3 linked regions of the Macaca mulatta genome follow. The protein of the gene in region 1 purifies or fractionates together with the protein of each later gene. This does not show direct contact. Links are inferred from orthologs where the notes say so. Each region holds a gene or a part of one and is shown on either strand. Other genes may lie near its edges.

Region 1 (5,893 bases):
TTGGACTCACTGCAACCTCCGCCTCCTGGGTTCAAGCGATTCTCCTGCCTCAGCCTCCCAAGCAGCTGGATTACAGGCATCCACCACCACTCTCGGCTCATTTTTAGCAGAGTTGGGGTTTCACCATATTGGCCAGCCTGGTGTCAAACTCCTGATCTCAAGTGATCCACCGCTTGGCATCCCAAAGTGCTGGGATTACAGGTGTGAGCCACCATGCCCGGCCCCTGCATACTTTTGAATCTCCCAAAACTACCAATAGCCTACTGTTGACGGAAAGCCTTGCCAATAACATGAACAGTCAATTAACACATACGTTGTATGTTATATGTATTATGCACTGTATTCTTGCAATAAAGTAAGCTAGAGAAAAGAGCATGTTATTAAGAAAATCATAAGGAAGAGATGTACATTTACTACTCAATAAGTGGAAGTGATCATCATAAACATCTTCGTCCTCATTATCTTCATGTGGAGGCTGAGGAGGGGAAGGAAGAGGAGGGGTTGATTCTGCTGTCTCAAGGGTGGCAGCAGCAGAAGAGGTGGAGGAGATGGAAGGGGAGACAGGAGAGGCAAGCACACTCGGTGTAACTTTTATTGAAAAACATCCATGTACAAGTGGACCTGCTCAGTTCAAACCCATGTTAAGGGTCAATTGTATAGTAATCTGTATGTATGTAACCTGGTGATGACCAGTCATTTCTCTTTTTCTTTCTCTCTCTTTCTTTTAAAGAGACAGGGTCTTGCTCTGTCGCTTAGGCTGGCATGAAAAGCACAATCACAGCTCATGGCAGCTTCAAACTCCTGGGCTCAAATGAGCCTCCCACATTAGCCTCCTGAGCAGCTGGGACTACACGCATAAGCCACTGCACCTGGCTTATTTTTTGTTTTTGTGGAGATGGGGGTCTTACTGTATTGTTCCGGCTGGTCTCAAACTCCGGGACTCAAGAAGTCCTCCAGTTTTGGCCTTCCGAAGTGCTGGGGTTACAGGCATGAGCCATGGTGGCAAGCCCTCATCAGTTATTTTTCTATGATTCTGTCTCGCTGTCCCCTCCTTACAAGGAAAGTAATTTTGAAACAACCAATCCAGTCTTGGTTCTTTGTTTCTGCTTTCTTCAGCCCTTCTCTGTCTATAAAATCAACCTCTTCTGCTCAGCTCATGGGAGCACTTATTCTAATTTAATAGAGGTGTTGCCCAATTCTAGAATCACAAATAAAATTAAGAACTTTAACAACAAAAGTTAAAAAATGAGAATCAGCAACAACAACAACAGAAAAGATCTTTAAATGTGTTGTAATTTTCTCCTTTGACAGGTTACAAGTGCAATTGAATAAACCAAACAAAAAATGTCATGGTTAGGTTCGGTCTTTACTTCCCAAATGAGGGTCAAGATGTAAGACAGCAAGAACCAACTTCTACCATAAAAAAGATCCGAATCCAAGAAAATGTGATTTTTCTTTAAAGCTGTTCACCGCAACGAAAGTTTCTTTTTAGTCTAGGAGACTAAAAGCCATCAGCTGACACAATCTCTTTTTTTCTTGAAGTTTCCAAAGGAAGGCAGGTGAGTTTGCACTAACTTCCATTTTCTCCCTGGCTTCCTTCTGGTGTCAGATGAGCGTCCCCGCGCTCCTCCCGGACAGCCCTCATGGTCCCCGGCTATCATATATGGGGGGGTTGGGGGGTGGGGGTGGGGTGGGGGTGGGCGAGATGGCTTTGTACAGGAAAGAGGGGCGGCAGGCACGGGGAGCACGGGCTCCAGCCCCAGGAACACTCAGTCGGCGCAAAGGAGAGGGAGAGAGCGAGTGCGAAAGCCGAAACCCTCCCGGGGCCACGGAGTAAGCCCCCAGTACCGCTCCTCCGGCGCCCCACCCGCAGGCGGACCCCGAAGACGCGCCCGCGCCCGCCCCCGGCGACTCCGGCCCGGGCACGCGCACGAGACGGCGGGGGGAGGGGCGGGAGAAGGTGGGGGAGGGGCGAGCGGGGAGAGGCCCCGCCCCGACCCCTCAGCCCCGCCCCGGCCCCTCAGCCCCGCCCGCCGCGATTATAGCGGATGACTCAGGGCGGAGCTCCGCGTCCAACCCCGGGCCGCGGCCAACTTCTCTGGACTGGACCAGAAGTTTCTAGCCGGCCAGTTGCTACCTCCCTTTATCGCCTCCTTCCCCTCTGGCACCGAGGAGGCTATTTCCAGACACTTCCACCCCTCTCTGGCCACGTCACCCCCGCCTTTAATTCATAAAGGTGCCCGGCGCCGGCTTCCCGGACACGTCGGCGGCAGAGAGGGGCCCACGGCGGCGGCCCGGCCAGAGACTCGGCGCCCGGAGCCCGCGCCCCACACCCGCGCCCCGGCGGGCAGACCCCGACCCAGTATGAGCGCCGCCACCCACTCGCCCATGATGCAGGTGGCGTCCGGCAACGGTGACCGCGACCCCCTGCCCCCCGGCTGGGAGATCAAGATCGACCCGCAGACCGGCTGGCCCTTTTTCGTGGACCACAACAGCCGTACCACGACGTGGAACGACCCGCGCGTGCCCTCTGAGGGCCCCAAGGTGAGCTGGGCCCGCGGCCCGCCCTGGTCGGCGGCGCCACCTCGACGGCAGGCGGCGGGGAGTGGGTTGGGCCGGGGGGACGCCAGGCGGCGGGGCCCGGTGGTCGGCGAAGGCCCCTTGCGGGCGGACACCGGCTCCGCGCCCCGCCACACACTCCCGGTGCTCCCGGACGAGTCCCCGCTCCGGACCCGCCCTTTACAGGAGTCGGGGCGAGAGGAGGCCCCGCGATCCGGTGGTCCGGGAAGCGACCCCGCAGTGGGTCCGGTGCGGTCCACGGCTCGACTCGGGGCGGAGGGCCGCGTGTCCGACGCTGGCCTCACGCTCCCGGGCTCGGAGGGGGCGGCCGGCCTGGTCAGCTCCGGAGGCTCCGGCCCGCCGCGGCCCCTGCTGCCGGCTCGGCCTCCGGTCCCGGGACCCGCGGCGCACCCCGCTGACCGCGGACTCGAGGGGGACCCTCGCAAGCTTGGATGGTGGTTTTTGGGAGGAATTTTACCGCTCAAGTTCTCCAACTTGGTTGAGGGGTATCTTGTTTGCTGTCCCATCTTAGGCACCCAATGACTCAGGAGGCTGGTGTCAAAACATTCATATATATGTGCGCGCGCGTGTGTGTGTATTTTAAATTAAAATTGTATTATTGTTTGAAAGTGCTTTCAATACGAATGTATCCTAGTATGACTTGTAAAATATAAAAGAGGGTGCACTTCTCCCCAGCAGTTTCTAAACTAGAGATCTGAGACTTACAGTTGGCCATTGCCTTACCACATTGCCTCACACTGGAAAGAGAATGATACGTGTATATTTATAATGGCATTCGCTTCCTGCCTTGTTATGGTATTAAAATACTTAGAATTTGTTACCAGTACACAAATAACAGAGTAATGATACTCTTGGGAATACAGCAGAAGTATGTCTCATTTACATATATGCAACGATATTCCTAATCCCCAAGAGCATGAAATTTGAAAACGTAAATTTGGAATGAGTCTGTTAATTTTCAAAAATCATAGTTATACTATTCGTTCAATTTTATATAAATTTGAGCTTTCAAAATAAAAAGTTTTTTTAAAAAAATATGTTATACTTAAAGCGTAATTGTTACTGCCGTCTGGGCAAGATAAAAGCAGCAAAGAGCTGGTAAATTATTTTGAAGATTTTAAAACTCACCAAATTAAAAATACTTTGTAACCCATTATTTTAGAAGAAAGACCTGTATTATTTCCCTTCATTTTAATGCACTTTTTGTTTTAACAATATTGATAAAACTCCGGTGCCCAACAGTGAGACACTGTACAGGCAGCAGTTTACATTTACGAGAGATTACTTGTGTATTTATTCTTGAAAATTAATACAAGAGGCTGTAATTAGCTGGGGTGGGCACAGTTGCATATACCTTTTTGTGTGTGTGTTCAGCCCATTTTTGGGTGAAACTGACACTCATTTCAAACCACCTTTCTTAGGCGTCTGCGTGGATGTACCTGATCTTTAGTGTGGTTTGCAACTATTATTTTGAGGCCTTCTTCCTGTGGACATAGGGACAGTGGTATCTGCTGGCAGCCTTTGTTGTGAGTGAAGATCAAGTTTGAACATAGACATTCCCAGCACTTTGTTCTCAGCATGAAACTTACCCAGCAAGTTGAGATATTCCTGTACCCACCTGGTGCATGGGTTAGGCTGTGGTTTCATAAACCTTATTAAAAGAAAAAAAGCAGGTTTAGCTGCCATTATTCTTCTCAATAAATAAAAAGTAAGAACTATTACATCAGAAGTCTGATGCTGGAAAGGTTTCTTTGAAAATTTCATAGTCAAAATTTTTAAGTTGAAAGGTCCTTGAAGATCTCTTAGTTAGAAGATCTCTTATTTTCTGAAAAACCCAGAGAATTCAGGTGTGACTTTGAAGGTCATCCAGCTAGTACCAATTACAGGGAGAGAACTAATGTCAGGAAAGTTCTAGTAAGAGGTGGTGTGTCTGTTAGAAGTTGGAAGTGAATGTTTTGTGAAACTGAAGCATGCAGGCTAGAATACCTGATTATCTTTGTGCCCTCCTGGCCACCAAGTTATTGGGTCACTGACCTCTGTGCTGTGGTTGCTTGGATTTTGATGATGGGACATCATCAACTCAAGAAAAGAGTTCTCTTTACGAAGTGAATGACTTGAGACTTGTCAGCATGGCACCAAAACTTAAGGAGAAAACTAACATTCAGCCCATTAGCTGTTTGTGCTTCATTGCTTTCAACCCTGTTCTTAGACACACACAATATCTGGTTGCACTTGTGTGAATTACACCTTGCTGGAGACTAAATGTAGTGGAGAATCCTAGAATATCATTTTGTATTTGGAATGGGCTTCTCAATGCATCATGAGAAAAGGGCCCTTGCATAAAACAAAGGGTGGCTTTGGAGGAGCTGAGCTGAGGCCCGTGTGAGCATCATCATTTTCAAGAGGAAATGCTGTCAATCAGTAAAAAGCTGTTCATTGAGCATGAGGAGCTCCAGAGACGACCTCTCCTTTGGGGGAGGACTCAGCTTCACGATGTTTAAAATTTAACCACGTTAGTAAGAAAATGGAAAGAAAAGACTAGACCTTTGTATTTAGTCTTCTACTGCCGTCTTGCAATTGATCCTCTGCCTTCTCCTGAAGTGGTTAGGACAACTCCCTGTTTTCACAGAGGGGCAGAGCGAAAGCAAGTGTCTTCTGTCATTGCTGAAGCAGGATGGCTGCCGGCAAAGATGTTGTGCTTCATCCAGTCCCATTCTAAGCAGCTGGGCCTCCCCACCTGCAGTCTCCCTAAAGTTTGATTTTCTGCACACTTGGGCTTCCCACTAATTTGGCAAGTTCATACCAGTACAGGCCCCTTTTTGGCAGAGGTTGGCATTCAGTGCTGGTGCAGCCACTCCTCCAGGCTCCTCCCTGAATAAACAGAACAGAGGCTGGATATTCTGGAGTGCTGTTCCCGCCAGGCCTCCTTGGGATGAAAGGGAGACTTTTCTCCCTCATGGAGCGGGGCCGCTCTAGCTCTGTGGATCTTGTGGGTTACCAGCCTGGCAGTCTCCAGGGACTGTTAAGAACACAGATTGAGGCTGTGTCTCATCACCTCCCTGCCCCCAACCCCATGTTCAAATCTGAATTGCTCAGTGTAGGACCCAGAAAACTATTCAGTCCAAAAAACTTTTTTGGTGGTTCTGGTTCTGCTGCACTGGCAGTGGGAGCCACAGATGGCCAGTGATCCCATTTTGGGGAGGACGAGCTGCGGCTTAGTGCCTCCTGAATAACCTGCAGAGCATTTTCCCGAGCCTCCATTTTCCTTCTTGGGGAAACTCCCTGGGTACCCGGGCTTCTGGAGGTGTGAATA
Region 2 (3,966 bases), on another chromosome or scaffold:
GCCTGGTGGACGGGGAGGGTCTGTGGGGCTCCCTCAGCCCTGGGGCTCCTGGGATCGGGCCCCACTGACCCAGCCTGGTCTGTTGCAGTGAGAATGAGGCTCTGTGGCGGGAGGTGGCCAGCCTTCGGCAGAAGCATGCCCAGCAACAGAAAGTCGTCAACAAGGTGGGGGCAGGGCCAGAGGGCCGGCGGGGGCCCCACAAGGGCCGGGGTGACTGTGTCCTCTCTCCCCACAGCTCATTCAGTTCCTGATCTCACTGGTGCAGTCAAACCGGATCCTGGGGGTGAAGAGAAAGATGTGAGGTTTTGGGGACGCCTGCATCCGCCACCCAGGGCCCAGGGCCGTCCTCCTCCTCTGTCAGCTGTGCCCCGAGGTAGGGGGTGGCAGCTGACTTGCACCCTTCCCCACAGCCCCCTGATGCTGAACGACAGTGGCTCAGCACATTCCATGCCCAAGTACGGCCGGCAGTTCTCCCTGGAGCACGTCCACGGCTCGGGCCCCTACTCGGTGAGTGCTGGAGGCAGGGCACCCGTCCAGGCCTGCGGGCGCAGTGGGGTGTGTTGCCCTGGCCGGCGCTGCACGAGCCTCCTGTCTTTGATTGCAGGCCCCCTCCCCGGCCTACAGTAGCTCCAGCCTCTACGCCCCCGATTCTGTGGCCAACTCCGGACCCATCATCTCCGACATCACCGAGCTGGCTCCTGCCAGCCCCGTGGCCTCCCCCGGCGGGAGCATAGACGAGAGGTGGGGGCCGCATCACCCCAGCCATCCTGTCCCCCAACGAGGCGAGCCCCTGTGGGCCCAGGGCAGAGTTGGGGATGAGGTGGGGCTGGCCAAGACACCAGCTAACGTGGCCCCCCTCGTGTCCAGGCCCCTGTCTAGCAGCCCCCTGGTGCGTGTCAAGGAGGAGCCCCCCAGCCCGCCTCAGAGCCCCCGGGTAGAGGAGGCGAGTCCCGGGCGCCCATCTTCCGTGGACACCCTCTTGTCCCCGACCGCCCTCATTGACTCCATCCTGCGGGAGAGTGAACCTACCCCCGCCTCCGCCACAGCCCTCACGGATGCCAGGGGCCACACGGACACCGAGGGCCGGCCTCCCTCACCCCCGCCCACCTCCACCCCTGAAAAGTGCCTCAGCGTAGCCTGCCTGGACAAGTGAGTGCCGCCCCACCCACAGCCCCTGGAGGCACAGCCCTGGGCTTCAGCTCAGACTGTCCCAGAGGGCAGCTGGCAAGGCAGGACCCTACCCCTAACCTCGGAGCTCTGGGCTGGGGAGGGAGACAGGTGCCAAACAGATCACCCCACAATCCCAAACGCCACAGAAGCCAAGGGCGTGTCCGGGCAGGCTGCTGGGCCCTGCTCTCAGCCACCCCTCCTGCTGCTGCCACCCTCTTGCCACAGGCCACAGGTCCTGGCAGGTCGTGCTGCCCAGACAGATGGCAGGAGATGGTGAGCAGGGCCTGGCCTCCACACCCCCAGGCTTGCCCAGCCCCTGCCTGCAATGGGGGCTCTTGTTTTTGTATCTTGCAGTTTGGCTCGCACTCCACAGATGTCTGGGGTCGCCCGCCTCTTCCCCTGCCCCTCTTCCTCTCCGCATGGCCGAGTCCAGCCAGGGTTAGCGCTGACCCCACTGGGGTGGGAGGAGGGCCCTGCCAGAGCTCGGGCCCTCCCACACAGCCGTGGACCAGACCCAGCCTGACGGGGCATGAGCATCGGGTCTGGGCGGCATCGTCCTAAGCTCCTCTGTGGCTGGGGCTCAATGTCATCATGGCTCCCCTGGCCATGGGCCTGTGGTCATTGCCTGTGACAGGGACAGGTCTCCCTGGCCTGGCACGGCCTCTGGTGCTGGCAGGATCCAAACTGTGGTGCTGACTGCACTTCCTGCCAGGTGGGGTCTCCAGGGCACCTCTGGTACCCAGCCTGGCTGCCTGTCCCATGGCCCAGGTGTGCCCCATGGCCTAGTGCTTTCTTGGTCACAGCCACCAGACTGTGGGTCTCATTCCCACAGCAGCACCAGGGCAGGGACTGAGCCACCCACACACTGAGCACAGCCCCAGCCATTTTCCCAGTGTAACAGGAAACCTCACCAACCCTGAAAACTGAAATCCCTGATCCTCGTGCTAGAGCTGAATACGCCCCTTGTCTCCTGGGTCCTCTGCCACCAAGGCCTCCAGGCCTCATGGCGAAGGGATGCCCAGCATGGGCCCAGCCGCACCCGAGGGCACAGAGCCTCCACCACCTTCCAGGCAGTCTTCGAATGCACTGCCCCCTCCAGCCTGTGCAGGCATACACGGGGGTGCGGCCTGGGGGATACAGTCAAGGGGAGCCCTTCTCCCACAGGAGCGCATCGGGGTGTGGGGCCTGGGGCACTGGTTCAGCTACCCCCTCATCCCGGGCCAGGAATGAGCTCAGTGATCACTTGGATGCTATGGACTCCAACCTGGACAACCTGCAGACCATGCTGAGCAGCCACGGCTTCAGCGTGGACACCAGCGCCCTGCTGGACGTGAGTCGCGTCCTGTCCCGCCCCGCCCCGCCCCGCCCCGCCCCCAGGTGCTGTTCTGACTTCCCTCCCTCCTCTGCAGCTGTTCAGCCCCTCGGTGACCGTGCCCGACATGAGCCTGCCTGACCTTGACAGCAGCCTGGCTAGTGTGCGTAGGCGGGCGGGGGGTGAGGGGGAACAAGACCAGCAGGAGCGCTCACGATACCATCTCCACCCCACAGATCCAAGAGCTCCTGTCTCCCCAGGAGCCCTCCAGGCCTCCCGAGGCGGAGAACAGCAGCCCGGATTCAGGTGAGCCAAGTCCCACCAACCCCCTCTCTGCCCCTGACCCCCCACCGCCTTGACACCCCCACCCCCGCAGGGAAGCAGCTGGTGCACTACACAGCACAGCCACTGTTCCTGCTCGACCCCGGCTCCGTGGACACCGGGAGCAGCGACTTGCCGGTGCTGTTTGAGCTGGGGGAGGGCTCCTACTTCTCCGAAGGGGACGGCTTCGCAGAGGACCCCACCATCTCCCTGCTGACAGGCTCAGAGCCTCCCAAAGCCAAGGACCCCACTGTCTCCTAGATGCCCCGGAGGAGCTGGGCCAGCCGTGGCCTGCCCACCCCCACCCCCAGTGCAGGGCTGGCCTTGGGGAGGAGAGGCAGCCTCGAGGTCCTGGGCACTGGTGGGTTGGCCACCACAGCCCCAGTAGGACAAACAGGGGCTCAGGTCTGGGCAGCACCTCTGGTCAGGAGGGTCACCCCGGCCTCCCAGTCTGCCTTCCCCCAACCCCGTGTCCTGTGGTTTGGTTGGGGCTTCGTAGCCACACCTGGACTGACCCTGCAGGTTGTTCATAATCAGAATTGTATTTTGGATTTTTACACAACTGTCCCATTCCCTGTTCCATAGAGATATACAGATATATACACACAGGTGGATGGACGGACGGACGGACAAGACAGGCAGAGATCTATAAACAGACAGGCTTTATGCGGTGGCCTCCCATGTGTTTCCTCTGTCCCAGGGTAGTACGGTGGATGGGGGTGCAGTGAGGAGGAGCCCAGGGCACAGAAGGGCTGGGCTGCAGTGGCCTCCTGGGGGAAGGCGGACGCTTGCAGCTAGCCCCATGCCTGCCCAACTCCGCAGGACCAGAGACCGGGGTGGGCACCCTGGCCCTGCAGGTCTCTCGTCGTCAGACCACCAGGAACCCCATTCCCAAGGTGTTTGCACTCAGGGACAGGGGATGCAGGGCAGGCACACTGTCTTCCTGCCATAGTGCCCTCCTATGTAGGCACAGGCAACAGAAGCCTGTCCCATAGCTTCAGGGTTTTCCACTCAGCCTGGTGGAGGAAGGGAAGGGGGCCTGGGGTGGGCAGTGGAGCAGGCTTTGCTTCTTTATCTGGCAGCAACAGCTTGTTCTTGAGCTCCATTGGCCAACAGGTGGGGACAGGCACAGGAGCCTATGTGGGATGGAGGAATCGAACCCA
Region 3 (4,323 bases), on another chromosome or scaffold:
GAGGAGGGCAGCTAGGGTGGGGAGGGGCCGCCGCCCAGAGTGCCAAAAGGAAGAAGAGAGGGACAGGCAGAGGGGGCTCACTGACTTGTCAGGGGTCTGCACCTGTGAAGGAAATAAGACAGATAGACAGATAAAGGGACAAAGGGACAGGCACAGGAGAGGAAGAAAGATGGGGAGGGGTCAGAACAGCCGGGGACAAGGCGGCACTGAGTGTCTGGGGCTCAGCTGGCCCGACACCACAACCCAACCCCCAGCCGCCAGCGAAGGGCGCGGCCTCATTCAGAGACCCCTCCCCAGGGCGGTGCCCTGCAAGGCGCCACAGCCTCGGGAGGGGCCCTGTGCCTGCAGCCCCACCCCGGCCGCCAGGGGTCGCTGCCGCACGGTTCCGCCAGGCTGGGGCGCAGCACAGACTGAGCAGCAGCGGGCAGCGGGCGTGGGGCCACAGGGGGCCTGATAGCGTGGGCGTGGGCGCGGGCGGGCAGGGGCCGACGTACCCATTCTGCTGCAGGGCGCTGTCAGCGGGCGGGGGCGCCCCGAAGGGTCGGGCCGTCTTGTTGAGGGAGACGCTGGGTGCAAAGGTGTACCGCGGGGGGTCCGCGGCAGGGACGGAGGCCTGGGCAGAGACAGAGCCGGGCAGGGCGGGCGGGCGGGGTAGGGTGGTGACCTGGGTGGGAGTGGGGCGCCTGCGCGAGAGGACAGCGGCAGCTCCAGCCCCCCACCCCCACCCCCCACATCTGTCTGGAGGCTAAGGGGAGAGGACAACAGGTTTCAAGGGGCCCATTTGGGAGTGCTGATCTCAGTCCACGCAGGACCGAGGGCTGACCCAGTGCGGGCGAGCACGCAGCGCCGATGGCGGGAGGCAGGCAGGCGGACAGACAGGCGGACATGCGTGGTGCCAGGACCGTGCGGCAGCCCCTGGCTCAACTCCAGGGCCCTAGACCCGCCTTAGCTCGTTTCCACCCTCCACTTCCGGCCAGGGATTGGGGTACCGAGAATGTGCCAGGAGGGCGAGCAGGCCCGGCCGTCCAAGCCCACACCGCCCGCACCCAGATGTCTCGGCCTGCCTCCTACCTTCTGTGGTTTGCTCTGAACTGGCTGGGCCCTGGAGAAGAAGGAAAGCATGACAGCGGGCTGGGCCCGCGGGGATCCCCTCCGCCAGCGCCCACGCACCCATGCATGCCCACCTGCACCCATGCATGCCCACCCGCATACCTGCTGAGGCCCAGGCTGAGGCGCTCCCCGCAGGCCCGGATCTTATTCTGAGCTTCGATATGTGTGAGGCTCCCTGCGTTCTCGCCATCGATGCTCAGCACCCAGTCACCGACGGCCACTCCGGCCTGCGCCGCTTTGCCTCCAGGAGTGAGCTATGGAGAGAGAAGCAAAGTGACTGAGGCCCTGGCTCCTGCAGACCCAAGCCAGGTTGATGGTGGTAACCCTGCCCCACCCAAAGCTGCCCCACTTCCAGAACCCAGAGAGCTCTTATTCAACAGAGTTCTAGGCAGCTGCTGGACACTAAAGCAAGCCAGGTGGTGGCACTCACCTGAGCTTCACAATTTCCCCAGTCACACTGCTTATTTATTCACCACCACGACCCTCCCACACAGTCCAGAAATTGCTATGATGTCCACAAACAGCCAGGCTCAGGCTAAAGCCCAAGTTTTTCAGGAGGACCATTGCCTTTTGAGGCTCCTGCTGGCTTCCTGCCCAGGCCGCTCCACCTACCAGATATGCCGTCTGACCCATGCAGGGGGCAGCTTCCTCCCTGAAACCACCCGGGGCTCTTACGGACCTCTTACCCCCCAGCACCCTGTGAGGGGCCATCTGCAGCGGTCTCCTAGGACCCTCTGAGCGCCAGAACAGGCCCTGTTATCTTCCGGTTCCCTGTGAACACTGCCTGAATGGGGCCTAAGGTGACAGCCGGGGCTTCACAGGCCATACATGGGTGTCACGCCCAAGCCCTCAACTGCCAACTTTCTCCAACCCCAATCCTTCAGGCTATTGAGCTGGGAGTCCCTGGTTCCTGTGGCAATGAGAGGAGACAGTAGGCTGGGAGAAACGGCTGCCACCAGGATGAGCTGAGACCATCAGGAATGACTTCAAGGACGCTGTGAGCCTCGGTAAAGGAGAATGGGGTGTGCTGCCTAGCGGGTGAGTTTACTTATGATGGCTTTGAATGCCAGAAGGAACTAGGACTTGGCTTTGAGGGTAGAGGAGCCACTGGCAGTTTTAATGTCTGGGATGGGGTATCTCCCAGGCCCTGAGAGGGGTGACCCTGATAATCCCCTTCCAGGCCTCGAGGCCAGCCCCAGCAACACAGGCGGGGCAGCTTGACTGGGTCTGAGCCCAAGGGGCCACCCAGCCATCTGGCAAGAGGCCTGGTACTGCAGTAAGTAGGCTTTTGTGAGGCAGTGCTGGAAGACAATTTCACTGGGTGGGGGGGATCTGGGGGGTCCAGGCTGCCAGAGGCCCCAGGAGGCTCCTCAGGTGGGCCAGTGCACAGACTGGGCTGAGACAGGGAAAAGGGAGGCAAGAGGTTTCAGAGAGATGTCAGAGGGCAGGGCAGCCAGACACAGAGCCTGACAGCACCAGGAAAAGAAAGGCGAGCTGGGCTCAACATGATTTCTTGCTTGCATGGGAGGTCAGAAGGCTAAGAGAGCTCAGTGGCCCCTTCCTCACTCGCTAAATAAGAACAGTTGCTTCCGTTTATTGAGCACCAAGTATGCTACATATTGACACTGAATCTTCCAACAACCCTGTGGAGTAATCAGGGATTTTACCCATTTTGCACTTGAAAATGTACACAGAGGCCGGGCGCAGTGGCTCACGCCTGTAATCCCAGCACTTTGGGAGGCTGAGGTGGGTGGATCACCAGGTCAGGAGATCAAGACCATCCTGGCTAATATGGTGAAACCCCGTCTCTACTAAAAATACAAAAAATCAGCCGGGTGTGGTGGTGGGCACCTGTAGTCCCAGCTGCTCGGGAGGCTGAGGCAGGAGAATGGCGTGAATCCGGGAGGCAGAGCTTGCAGTGAGCCGAGATGGCGCCACGGCACTCCAGCCTGGTCGACGGAGCAAGACTCCGTCAGAAAAAGAAAAAAGGAAAAAAGAAAATACACACAGAGAGGTTAAACAACTTGCCTCAAGTCACCCAGCTAGTAAGAGGCAAGGCCAGGAAGTGTCCCTGACCCTAAGGCACTGTGGGCCACCTCTGCTGAGCATGGGGGCCCAACCGGGGGGCCAGTCCACCTGGAGACATCCTGAGCCCCTCCCTCACCTTTAGTTCAATCCAACTAAATCAACCCCTTATACGGTATGTGGGGAAGTGACACCCCAGAGGGGAAGTGACTTACTCAAGGTCATGGTGAGTCAGTAGAAGGGAAACCTGGCCCAGCCACTCCCTGCCCACAGGGCTGGCTCCTGGGAGGTGTGGGCTGAGCCCGAGATGGAGGTCTTGGGGTGCACAGGAGCAGCTAGCTGGCTCCTGGAGAGGGGGTAGGGGGCGGGGACGGCTTCCCTTCCCAGAGTGAGGAGGGCAGAAAGCAGAGGATGAGGAGTGTTCAGAGCATGGAGAGGGCGGCAGGAGAGCAGGAGACAGCGCTGGGTGGGTGGCTGGAGAGAGGCAGGGAGGGGCTCAGGCCAGGAGCAGGGTAAGGCCAGAGGAACCAAGGAGGGAAAAAGCCAGGGGGCTGGACCCTGCATGAGGTGGGGGTGAGTCAGCCTGAGCAGCCCAACCCCCCAGTCCCAGACGTTACCTCATCTCCCAGGCCTGGGCCCACGGCCAGCCCTCACCCCTCCCATCTCCCTCCATCCTGGGGTCAGGGGAGGGGGAGGGGACTGGCCTAACTCAGAAAAGCCCACCTCACCCACCCATGTGGGCCCAGGTCCAACTCCAGGGCTGGGATCAGCTAGTGGCCCCACCCACATGCCGGGGATGCTGACCAGGGAGCTGGAGCTTGGAGTGCCCCCAACAGGCCATATCTGAAAGTCATCTCCATCAGGGAAGAAACTGAGGTTCAGGGTCCCCAGACGCATTGGGCCAGCACTTTCCCAAGGGGCAGGACGCCGGGTGGGTTTTCAGAGCTGTGTGAGGACTGTGTAGGAGGATGTGTGTGGTAGGGCGACCACTGCCCTCACTACCCTGCTGGTGGGGCAGGTTCCCGGAGAACACCGTGGAAGGACCCCTGGGAAGAGCCTACCCTAACCCCCATGCCCAACTCCTACAGACAGACTCCACCTTGACGCCCTCCTCAGGCCACAACCCTCTGGGCCCTTCCAGGCTGGGCTTGCCCTGGGCTTCCTGACAACAGCTGCCTGCCCACCCAT

The links. The genes of interacting proteins can lie anywhere in the genome.
Region 2: the proteins of BAG3 (region 1) and HSF1 purify together in Homo sapiens (affinity purification with mass spectrometry; 3 studies listed by BioGRID and IntAct, with this or other methods). This does not show direct contact. The link is inferred for Macaca mulatta from reciprocal best matches to the Homo sapiens genes BAG3 and HSF1.
Region 3: the proteins of BAG3 (region 1) and PDLIM7 purify together in Homo sapiens (affinity purification with mass spectrometry; 3 studies listed by BioGRID and IntAct, counting the BioPlex papers as one, with this or other methods). This does not show direct contact. The link is inferred for Macaca mulatta from reciprocal best matches to the Homo sapiens genes BAG3 and PDLIM7.

What each region holds. Positions count from the first base shown.
Region 1 is NC_133414.1:131,747,374-131,753,266, forward strand, and holds the start of BAG3 (BAG family molecular chaperone regulator 3), read left to right. Parts: upstream 1-2,068; 5' UTR 2,069-2,364; coding exon 2,365-2,544; intron 2,545-5,893. UniProt on the Homo sapiens protein: Co-chaperone and adapter protein that connects different classes of molecular chaperones including heat shock proteins 70 (HSP70s), e.g. HSPA1A/HSP70 or HSPA8/HSC70, and small heat shock proteins (sHSPs), e.g. HSPB8.
Region 2 is NC_133413.1:154,708,725-154,712,690, forward strand, and holds the end of HSF1 (heat shock factor protein 1), read left to right. Parts: intron 1-88; coding exon 89-164; intron 165-235; coding exon 236-297; intron 298-410; coding exon 411-507; intron 508-604; coding exon 605-741; intron 742-867; coding exon 868-1,149; intron 1,150-1,524; coding exon of another isoform or gene 1,525-1,608; intron 1,609-2,394; coding exon 2,395-2,500; intron 2,501-2,579; coding exon 2,580-2,645; intron 2,646-2,718; coding exon 2,719-2,788; intron 2,789-2,858; coding exon 2,859-3,064; 3' UTR 3,065-3,466; downstream 3,467-3,966. UniProt on the Homo sapiens protein: Functions as a stress-inducible and DNA-binding transcription factor that plays a central role in the transcriptional activation of the heat shock response (HSR), leading to the expression of a large class of molecular chaperones, heat shock proteins (HSPs), that protect cells from cellular insult damage.
Region 3 is NC_133411.1:186,476,043-186,480,365, forward strand, and holds part of PDLIM7 (PDZ and LIM domain protein 7), read right to left. Parts: intron 1,365-4,323; coding exon 1,213-1,364; intron 1,103-1,212; coding exon 1,072-1,102; intron 614-1,071; coding exon 495-613; intron 103-494; coding exon 82-102; intron 1-81. UniProt on the Homo sapiens protein: May function as a scaffold on which the coordinated assembly of proteins can occur. May play a role as an adapter that, via its PDZ domain, localizes LIM-binding proteins to actin filaments of both skeletal muscle and nonmuscle tissues.